3 linked regions of the Caenorhabditis elegans genome follow. The protein of the gene in region 2 purifies or fractionates together with the protein of the main gene of each other region. This does not show direct contact. Each region holds a gene or a part of one and is shown on either strand. Other genes may lie near its edges.

The links.
Region 1: the proteins of Y54G11A.17 (region 2) and mrps-14 fractionate together in Caenorhabditis elegans (co-fractionation; one large-scale study listed by BioGRID). This does not show direct contact.
Region 3: the proteins of Y54G11A.17 (region 2) and mrps-34 fractionate together in Caenorhabditis elegans (co-fractionation; one large-scale study listed by BioGRID). This does not show direct contact.

What each region holds. Positions count from the first base shown.
Region 1 is NC_003280.10:10,239,685-10,244,366, forward strand, and holds mrps-14 (Small ribosomal subunit protein uS14m), read right to left. Parts: upstream 2,807-4,682; coding exon 2,730-2,806; intron 2,239-2,729; coding exon 2,065-2,238; intron 1,947-2,064; coding exon 1,850-1,946; intron 982-1,849; coding exon 730-981; 3' UTR 621-729; downstream 1-620. Other genes in the region: F-box/WD repeat-containing protein mec-15, read right to left, coding at 1-4; nrde-2 (Nuclear exosome regulator NRDE2), read right to left, coding at 3,125-3,239, 3,502-3,605, 3,655-4,232, 4,293-4,682.
Region 2 is NC_003280.10:14,348,282-14,351,188, forward strand, and holds Y54G11A.17 (L51_S25_CI-B8 domain-containing protein), read right to left. Parts: upstream 1,126-2,907; coding exon 961-1,125; intron 915-960; coding exon 705-914; 3' UTR 605-704; downstream 1-604. Other genes in the region: Protein lin-7 homolog, read right to left, coding at 311-511; elof-1 (Transcription elongation factor 1 homolog), read left to right, coding at 1,896-2,011, 2,061-2,199; agl-1 (Glycogen debranching enzyme), read right to left, coding at 2,596-2,907.
Region 3 is NC_003281.10:4,540,893-4,544,181, forward strand, and holds mrps-34 (Mitochondrial Ribosomal Protein, Small), read right to left. Parts: upstream 1,561-3,289; 5' UTR 1,555-1,560; coding exon 1,465-1,554; intron 1,416-1,464; coding exon 1,335-1,415; intron 1,289-1,334; coding exon 1,158-1,288; intron 1,112-1,157; coding exon 904-1,111; intron 824-903; coding exon 647-823; 3' UTR 528-646; downstream 1-527. Other genes in the region: cisd-3.1 (Iron-binding zinc finger CDGSH type domain-containing protein), read left to right, coding at 1,990-2,127, 2,173-2,268, 2,320-2,501; M88.3 (RING-type domain-containing protein), read right to left, coding at 2,731-2,803, 2,853-3,056, 3,139-3,289.

The sequences.
Region 1 (4,682 bases), 4.1 Mb from region 2:
TCATAAGGATGCTGTAAGAATAATGAGATAGATATTATGGGAAGCAGTGTTTCAGAGAAAATTAAAAATCGAAAAATTAAAATTTTCGATTTTCTGGAAAATCTTGAAATCTTTTTTTTACTTTAAATTTTTTGAATCAAACTTTGCCTGTTGATAAGAGAAAAAAAATACTTTTTCACTAAAAGGAAGCAAATTGACCGAAATTTTAATGTAATTTGTGAACAATGGGAAAACGAAAAAATAGCGATTTCTCTGGAAATTTTTTTTGAAGCCGACACCGCAGAAAAATTCGTTTTTTGAGATCAATGTGAAAGCGCGCTCAGCAGCGAAATGAGCAGGATCCGCCTCCAATAGTTGGGTCTCGTTAGGTATTGGAGGCAAAACAGTGAATCTCTGAAGCAGACATTTTTCGAAGACATCCTTGATTGCCGAAAAATAAAACGTTTGAATTTTTAGGCTTTTGCCGCCAATTAACTAACGAGACCCATTGTATTGGGGCTGTGGAGCACGCTCGCACACTGATGGACAGAAAAACATCTGAAAATAATAATTTTTCTGAAAAAAAAGTATTTTAATTGATCAATAACCAATACAGAGATATCATAATCTATATCACAATAAAACAAAAATAATTCATTAAGAGCATCGATAACAAAAGAAGTGTTCAAAACGAAGAAGAAATCAAAAATAGAAAACAAATAAATCTAAAACTACAACTCCTATCTCACACTACCACATGGCTCTTTGGACTCCACTGAGAGCTGATCTATCTGCAAATCGACGGAACAAGTGTCTACTCAATCTGTATGGCTTTATCTTTCCACGTTGTCGTCCTGTGAACTGGCACATATTGAGAATCAGACGAGGATGATCGTATTTTCGAGCTTTTTGCATTTTCTCGGCTGCTTCGTCACGAATCGCTTGCGGGAGAATTGTGTTGAATTTGATAGCTTTTAGACGCATACGATCCGCGCCGACTTCCTGAAATTAAATTTTAATCAAGGGCAAGCAGCAGGCCTGGGCTTGTTTAAGGCTTTTTTGTCAAAAATGGGGGTGTCGGGGGTTTTTTGTTACAAAAATGGGTTTTTTCTGGTTTTTTTGGTTTGTGGGGGTTTTTTTAATAAAAAAGGGAATTTTTTGGTTTTTTCGTCACAAAAAATGGTTTTTTTTTTGGGTTTTCTGTTTTGTGGGGTTTTGTTTTTTTAAAAAGTAATGATTTTCAATAACGATTTTTTGGTGGTTTTCGAATAAAAAAAATATTTAAAAAATTTCAGACATGTGAAAAGAAGCGAAAAACTTTTTTTTGTTTATGGAAAATTTTTTTTGGTGACAGCCCTGGTGTTTTTTGGTATTCTGGCACGAAGAAAAATGCGATTTTTTTTTTGTATTTTAAACAATTTATATTTTGTAAATATTCTTATGGTTTTTGATGTTTTTTAGCTCTGTCGGTAGTGGTGGCCGCTAGCAGTCTGGAGGTCACGAGTTCAAGTCCGGCCTCACCCCCTAGGTTCACCCAGCCTCTATTGGGAAGTGGAGCAATCCACGACTGGATTATCGGCCACAGTCCCCGGCTAGGACGTGGCTTAAATTACAGCCCAGAGGGATCACCACCAGGCAGTGTACCTGAATCCCAGATCCGCAGTGCATAGCACTTGAAGAACGGATCGTCCTTTAATCCTTTAATCCTTTAAAACAAATTTTTTGGCACATATGACAATATTCGTATTTTTTGGTATTTTTTGTTTTGGTTCTTTTACAAATTTCAATTTTTTTCCTTTTTGGTTTGAAATAAAAACCAAAAATATTTTTAGCACATATGACAATATTCGTATAAAAAATAGAAACCAACCTGAATCTGCTCACGTCGTTTGACATCTCTCAACTGACGCCAACTCGCCCAGAATGTCATTCGTTTTCCGGTTTTCCACCATTCTCTCTCCACGTATCTATAGAAACGTATATTCAATACAAGTGTATAGTTTATGTGCAATTCTTTCTCACTTTGAGAATAAAAAAGCGGCAGGCAATAATTTCAAAAATATACAAAAAAAACCAAAAACCTACAATGGATACTGATCAAGTTTCAATTTTGTAAGCGCCTCGCTAGAATATGGTTGAGTGATTCGTTTCTCTTTCATAGGTTCTCCAGCATCTTCTACAGATGTTGCCGGTTCCGTGGATTCCGTAGTCTCTTCAGATGATGGTTTTGCAGGTTCAGGAGCTGGAGTTGATAAATATCTGGAAATTGTTGGACATTTAAATTAAGCCATAAGACGATAATTCCTGTTTTCTCAGCGCGAGAAAAGGATTGAGTTCGAATAACAAATTTTGAAATTTGAAAACCAAAAAAAAAGTTTTCCATTTAGTTTTTTTTTCGAATAAAAAAGCAAAAATTGAACTTTTCGTCAAAAATACGAGTAATTTCGCAGGCCTCAAACGTTTTTTTTTGTTGAGAATTTTCGAATATTTTAATAATAATTGCATTTTACTTCTAATTTCAAGTGTAAGTTTTCGGAAAAAAAAGGGAAATTCTAAAAATTAATTTTTTAAAAACGTTTCCATTTTGTGGCAGGTTCACTTTTTTCAACGAAAAATTTTCGCTTAAACAAATTTTATAAATTGAAAGTTTAAAATATTCTCGAGTGTAAAAAAAGCAAAACATCAAAATTTTTCGCCAAAAGCAGGATTTTCGCATAGTTTAAATAATAATTAGAGAAATCTATACTCACCTTCTACTCATCATCATTTCATTCTTGTAAAGAGCCGTCGATAGTAGGTCCGCTGCTCCGCGGAGTGCCCTCAACATCTGTGCACATACATTGCAATACATATTTAATACAATTATTCATGCATGGAAGGAACTGGTTGGAGGAAGTGTAACCTCTTTCATGATGAAAGAAATATGACATTAAAACGAATATTTTCATTGTTGAAAACAAAAAATTTTTACCGAAACAAAAAATGCGAAAAGACAGAAGAATTATAATACAAAAATAAACATAATCTGTCGGATAGAAAGAACAAAAGAAAGAAAGATTCCTGGGATGAAATGAATACCGGTGGATAATTATATGGAATGGATTTTTAAAAAAGTTATAGGCCGAGTTACACAAAAAAGAGAGAATCAACGTCCGGATTCGGAATACTGTAGTCCAATTTCCTGCTGTGTTTTCATGTATTCCTCGTCGGTCACAAATAAACTATGCTCTTGTCCCATGCTTTGTTCGAGAATGAGGTAGCTGTAAATAGTGTTATTTAGAATGCATTGGCATGTGTGCTGATTATAATTGCATAGCGTTTTAATAAAATTTATTCGCTTTGTATTGTATTGTTGTATATAGACTAGACTAGAAATCGAAAAAAAATAATACGATTTAAATTAATTATACTTCGATAATTTGAACATTGTAATAAAATCAATCTTAGTTGATTATTTTCAAAAATCGGGCACAACAAATTACATTTTTGAACTGAAACTTTGCTCTCAATAATTGAACTTACATCATCTCCATTAGATCTCCATTCTTGCGGACAGTTTTTGCTTCAATATAATCAAAGTGCAAATTGAGAGCCCATGTACATTGACCTCTTGCACGAGTGTAAGCCTGTAAGAAATTTAAATTTCACATACAACCTTTTTTCCTGAAAACTCACATCGTCCTTTAGAATCTTCTGTGACAATTTACTGGCAACTCTTATAACTTGTCTCCAGATAGCCGGATCACGTGTATTAGCTGCTTCTCGTTTCCAATTTTTATAGAGGATTTGATTTCCGGCGTCTCCAATCCGGTTGGCTGCATTCATCCAAGAGAACATAATAGTCAACGAGTTCATGAGAAGACGAGTTTCAAGTTCTGGATCAAATTGCTGATCTCGTTTCGCATTCAAAATACTATTTCTGCTGTCGGTGAATCCTTGAAGCTTCATCACTTGCAGACGACCGCTGGAATGCAGCTCGCCGAGCATCTTCGCATATTTCGAATCACATGGGAACGCTTGCGATGCTTGGAAGATCAACTTTTTGAAGTTTTCATTGTAGATGAAACGGTGTTTTTTGTGCGAAAAGAAGGTTATGAGAGTGTCCGTGATGAATTTCAAATCGATCTGATCACAGTATTTTTCATAAGTTCCACGATTGAAATCATTTTTCTTGGCTTCAAATTGCTCGAATTTGGTGATCGCGTTGGCAATGAGGCAGTCGACTGCACGCCTGCTGAATGCCATCTTGTCCACTGAAATTTAATAAAATAATCAATTAATTTTTACAAAGACTCAAAGACTATAAAACTCACAGAAAACAAATACCGCCACAACTTTCAAAGCTTCGCACAGTGCCTCAGCTCTTGGTAATTCTGGTATACTGTCGACCGATTCAAGATTGTCCTTCTCCTTGCAATGCTCCAGCAATTCGTTCAATCCTTGATCCAATGCCAATAAGAGAGCTTCATCACTTTCAAATTCCGAAGTGTGAATTCCAAGAATCTCTTTACAGAAAACATCTCGAGTCTCTTCTAAAGCATTTTGATTTAGAATAGAAAGTCTTCCACGTAGAACATTGGCATAAAGATGTAATTGAAGCGTTGGCAATGAAGAATCAGCGCTCTGAATGAGCTTTTCTGTTGATTTGGGGATAGCTATATCAATCATATCCCTAATCTTATCACGAATTGTTTGCACTCGTT
Region 2 (2,907 bases):
AAAATTTTGATTTTCGCCGAACTACCGATTTTCCGGAATTTTTTGTAGGGATTTTCATTATACGGAAACACTTAAAACTGTGCCTTTTTGAATTTTTTAAAATTTAAATTTTGAAAATTCCAAAAAAAATGTGCAAAACCACAATTTGCAGATATGGCGGAAGTATTAATTCGGACAGTTTGCCAATTTGCCGGAATTATCAATTCCGACAATAAGCCGATTTTCCAGGAATTTGAATTCCGGCAATATGCCGATTTGCCGGAAATTTCAATTCCGGCATTTTTGTCAGTTTTATCAAAAAAAACTGAACCTCTGGCGTTGTATCCGCATCAATTGATTCATAAACAGTCTCATAGACCTCTCGGACGGCACCGAAAAATTCGGATTGTAGCACCTGCTGCAGCGATGCCAATTTTGCATTATTGACCTCTCCAGTCTTCTGAACGTGCTCCATGAGCTCTAGAATACGCTGAACGTCCCGCTCCAAATTCGGACCATCCGGGTTATCCATCTGGAAGATTTGGTTGGAAAGGAGGGGAAAAATAGGACGGAAATAGGTAAAAATGGCAAGAAAACCAATTAAAAATTACAAAATTAAGCTATCCAGAGCGGAAAAACATTATTTACTATTCTAATTGACCATAGCCCGTCAGAAAATTATTAAACACAACAAAACCAAAAAAAAAATCGACAAAAAATTAAATTTAAATTTCATGTCGCAGCGTGTGCTTCTGAGACAATTCCAGCGGAATCACATTGAACGTCATTTTGTACAAATCCACGTCTTTCCTATACTCGTATCCCTTCATCTCCTCAATTTCATAGTCCGGATCGCATTTTTCCTGGGAGATACGAACGATTCCGTCGCAATGGGCACGCAGAAGACGTTCTCCGCGATCGTTTTCATAGTAAACCTGAATAACTTCTCAATAATCAAAGATATTTGATAATAAATCTTACATTTAACCCTGGATGATAATTCATTTTGAATTGATTCACCAGCAAATCGTCTTTTCGCACAACTTCTCCGTCTTTCCGGAAAATTCCACGGAACGGGAGATTCTTTGGTGGTCGTAGAAGTCCGCGAATTTGTTGAAAACTACCGGTGAATCCCTTGAGGCCCATCTGAATATTTAAATTTGAATTTAGATAATTTTAATTGTTAAATTATAATTTTGAGTTGCATTGCATCACTAGAAAGATATTTTATTGAAAATTAACGTTTTTCAGCATTATTTAATGCTTTTTAACGATTTAAACAATTTTCTCATTTAATTTATTGATAAAATATTGAGAAATGTTTAATTTTAAGCATAAAATGAATAAATCCTGCTCCGGAAAGTCCGATAAATGCTTAATTGTTTTGGAGACTACGGTCAACATTTTTTGTACGCAGTACGCAACGTGTACTGCAGACCGTAGTCGAGAAAACCTGCGCATCTAACTGTCTTCCTCGCGCCAATTTTGTTTCGAAATTTCTTTTTTGGCTGTTTTTCGTGTTACTTTTTGCCGGATTTTTGCCGTTTTTATATGATAGAAATATTATGTTTTGTGTCAAAATAGGTAAATTTTCCATATAAAACCTGATGATTCAAAAAATTTTGTGAATTTGAAGTCCAAAAATGTGGAATTTCAAGCCGACACTCACGAAAAATTTTCACATTGTGCATACGTTATAGTTTTTAGAATACAGAAAAAAACAATATAGTATTTCTGAGTGTCGCATTTTTGAGTGGTTTGTATATTAGTATATTTTCTTGCAATTTAAATGTAATTTTCGAACTTTTTTTTCGAGATTGGAACATATTTTTACCTTCTGCAAAAATATTCTGTTCTTTTTACGTTTCCCGAACTTAATAATTGTTTTTCAGAACCAATCCAAACAATCCGCAGCAATGGGAAAGCGAAAGTCGAAGAGAAAGGCTCCAACCAAGGCAAAGGCTGTAATGCCACTCGACACCCAATTCAACTGTCCGTTTTGCAATCATGAACGCGTTTGTGAAGTGAAAATGTACTTTCTAAGGAAAATCGTTTCAAAAAAAAACGTAATAATTTTCCAGGGATCGCGAAAAGAATGTCGGTTATATCTCGTGTCGTGTCTGCTCTGAAGACTTCCAAACAAACATCAACTACCTCTCCGAGCCAATCGACGTCTATTCTGATTGGGTGGATGCCTGTGAGCAGGCAAATAACGCCTGAATATTCCCCATCCGTCAATCTTAAATTCTTATACGACCTCCTTATAAGCCTCCAAAATCCCCATCGCGTTGATCTCTTTGCTTTTCTCAGTAATTCTATTTCCTTCTATCCCCAATTCATCCACACACTTTCTGGATCATCATTGCAGCACGCCTCGAAAACCGGTCCTTCAATTCTCACGAGAATGGTATCCTCGAGCTCGTTTTTGTGTGTAAATAACCAAATCAGCACATCACCATTTTTTGTACAATACTTTATTTTTCATCATTTTGTTTCAAATTTCTTTGGCTCAAAGCTATATAAAAAGTTGAACTTAAAAATCAAAAATGGTAAGTTAGCTAGAAATGCAACAAGGAAATACATGCAATATTCTGAATTCTAAAAAAAAGGAAAATATCATCCCTCGATAGTATTAAGTTTTACACATGCTTCAATCAGGCAACCGACGGACCACGCCTGGGCAGCACAACTCTGCATACAGTATTCTCCATCAGCATTTGTCAGTTCCGGTAGTGACCTCCATGGTGATGAAATGATGTGCTTGTAAGCATTGCCGAGTCGCTCCTGGACTTGCCGGATCGCATACTGCTTTTCGGATCCTCCGAGGATATCACCGATTCTCAGCCGAGCTTGGAGATAATACCCGGCGACGAAGAGCCATTCAGGGCCCTGATGATAATTCCATCCTTTTGCCGTCTTCTTGTCAGT
Region 3 (3,289 bases), on a different chromosome or scaffold from region 2:
TGTGCATCCAAAACGTAAAAATTATTGTGAAATATCATCTTAAATATTTAGTGGAGTGTAATAATCAAATAATCTTGAATAAAGTTGCGCAGGAAATCTGATGCATTGTGTTACGGTGGGTGCACAAATTTTCCAAATGCACCGAATTCCACGCGCAATTTCAATTTTTAAAGTTAAAGCCACCAAAAAACATAGTTGTACCATTAGATTTCTGGACTGACTATGAGTATTCATTTTTCACAACTCTCTTTTTCACAACGTCAGTAATATTTTCCCTCCGCTGTTGCAACTTATTTAGTCACAGTAAGTACTGTATTCAAACCTGAGTTTATTTACGCAAATTCGCCACTGATGTTTGGTTCGTTTCTGTTAATGATTCAACTTGTTCAACTCATACTGTTATAACGAATGCGTTCTCTTTAAGTTGTGATCTATATTTTATACATTTTTGTATTTTTGAATTAATCATTAACATTTTTTTTAACTATCACAAATTTCACTTCACTGTAGTCTTGGAACAATGTGACTTGGTTCATGATAGTTTAATTTTAAAACTCTAACGAAACAGAACAAAAAGAAAACAAAGTCTAAAAACAACTGCTACAATCGAAAACTTAAATTTAAAAAAAATTAAATTGAAAGAGAATCATTTCGGTGGTTGCTCTTCAACTCTCATCGTTGTGGCATTAAATCGTGGTTGGAACATTGCTGGTCCTGCATTCCAAGCTTCAACTTTAACTGGCAATTCGTTTCCGTAAAGATCCAAAAGTGCATTCTTATCAACTTCCTCGTAGATCGACACGCTTTTTGTTGAAGGAGCTTCCTGAAATGGTTGAAAATTGAAAAATAAAATTTTGTGAGTTTCGGAGTTTTTTATTTCAGCATATACATAGTTAATCCCACCTGTTTGATGAACGGCTTCAAGTGCTGGAACTCTGGATCGACACTAAGTGTGAGCGGAGCCCGTCTTGACACAGTTTTCTCATCCAAACCATTTTTGCGAGCACTTTTCTGTGACAAATGAACTTGAAGTGGTGGCAATGGAAACGAATCGGGAAGAACAAGATCTTGCATTGGTGTTGTGCTCGATGTATATGATTTTTCTTGATGTCTGAAAATAAACGAAAATTTCGAATCCTCAATTAAGAATTGCTTACTTGTGTACCAGCTGCCAGTCACTTCTGTTCAAATCCTTTGAAAACTCATAAACGCCAAGATTTTTTCCACGAAAGACCCATTCAGCATAAACTTTTCCTTCGAATAACCATCGGTCCATGCCTGGCTCTGCCTGAAAAGTTTCAGTGATCTTTGTTCATGCTAAAAATCAAGAATGCCCTCAAAATCTTCATATATGACGGATTATTCGGCCATTTCCGTGTCCATTCATTCTTTGTAACAAGACGACCGACACCAAACTGAAAAAAAAACAATTGAATCAAGGGGGAAAACAGCAGAATAACATACGTTGCGGAGTTGTGAGAGAATCTCGAACAAAAACTTTCCTTCCGATGCAATATCATGATTTCCAACAAATCTGATTAAGTTTGAAGACATTTTTATCTGAAACTTTTAAAATTGACTGTGAATCTTGAAGAAAAGGAAAAAATTAGAGAAACAAATTAAATGCTCGAAGAGAAGAAAAAGAATAGAAAAAATGCGCGGCGTGCTTGCAATGAGGCGCAGTGCAGCCGTTTTAGCCCCGCCCCTTGAAATATTCTTCCTTTTATTTATTCAGATTTTCAACTTTAAAATTATTTTAAGCATGTGTTTAGATGTTTTAATTTCATTTTCCCAAACTAAATAAAACTTTAGACAGTTTTTTCATGTAATTAATGACAAAAATGCCACAATTTTCGGTGCAAAACAGTTTTAAAGAAAATGTTATTTTTAAAAATTCATCAAACATTGCTTTTAAATTGTATTTCACTTCTATAATGATCACTCGTACTCATTAACTCAGTTATGTGTGAATGTTATCAGTTTTACAGAATGCGGATAACTCAATCGGCTCAAATCTGTTTGTCAGTCATCAAAAAGAGTCAGAAAACCGGATTTGGTCCAAACAGGCTTCAAAGAAAGGGAACACATTTTGTAGGAACCGAACCACCAGTTCTGAAATATCATATTGTGAGTCATTTCGGAGGTTTTAAATATTTATTGATTAATATTTAGCTTCAAGACAAAAAACCAAATGAGGAATACGGTCTGCAAGGAACCAACCACGAGCTTCCCGGAACTGGAAAAGTGCATAGTAAGCTACCAACTAAGGTATTCAAATATATTACTCGTATGCTACCTTCTGAGCTAATTTTTTTATAGGTTCACATGAAAAAGGATAAAGTTTACGCATGGTGCAGTTGTGGATATAGTGGATCGCAACCACTCTGCGATGGATCCCACAATTCAATTCGAATTCCCGATCTTAAATTGAAACCAGTACGATTTATTCCTGATAAGGACATGACGGTGTGGCTATGCAATTGCAAGCAAACAAATAATCGGTAAGATTTGTTTTTTTGTAAAAGTTAAAAAGTTGCGAAAAATCGTGTTCCTAGAGCTTAAGGAAATTAAGTTAAACTAGTTTCGGACTTTGAAATGAGACGTATTTAATTTGGAAGGTTATGTTCAGATTACCTTATATTGAATGACTTGCAAAAAAATTCATACAAAAAAACCATCCCACGGAAACCCTTTATTCAATTCATAAAAAGCATTATTCTCTCATGTCTTCTACACAAAATTGATCTTCACTCCGTTTTTGAGAAATGCACCGAAATCCATCACAAACACAATGTACTCATCGCTGAAATTAATTTAAATTTGATCTACTAAACGAATTCAGTTTCACTTACACCTTGGAAAAGTTGTACAATTCCAGAGAGTTGTACTGTTTAGTCCTAACTCTTCGAACTCTACGTGACCATCCAGGCTCCAATTCCACGTGGTACAGTACTCCCGATTGATCAGGTGGCAACGTTTGGAAGTATTCGCGAAGAAGCGAAGTGATCACTCTGTTGACTTTTGTGGTCGATTGTACTTCCAATTCGACAACGTTGCTGGAAAAATAAAAAGAATCACGGTATGTTTGCTCATGTGCCTGCCTACATGCCTGGCTTGCCTAAAAATATGATAACTCACTGTTGAACTCCGAGAATATCCAGCTGCTCCAAAACATACAGCTTTACACCAATCATTTCCTGAAGCAATGGATAAATCAGCCGGAAGTCTCCCTTTGCATTGGAAAGGTTGTCCATCACCGACCCGACAGCACAATCCGTCTCCTCAGAAC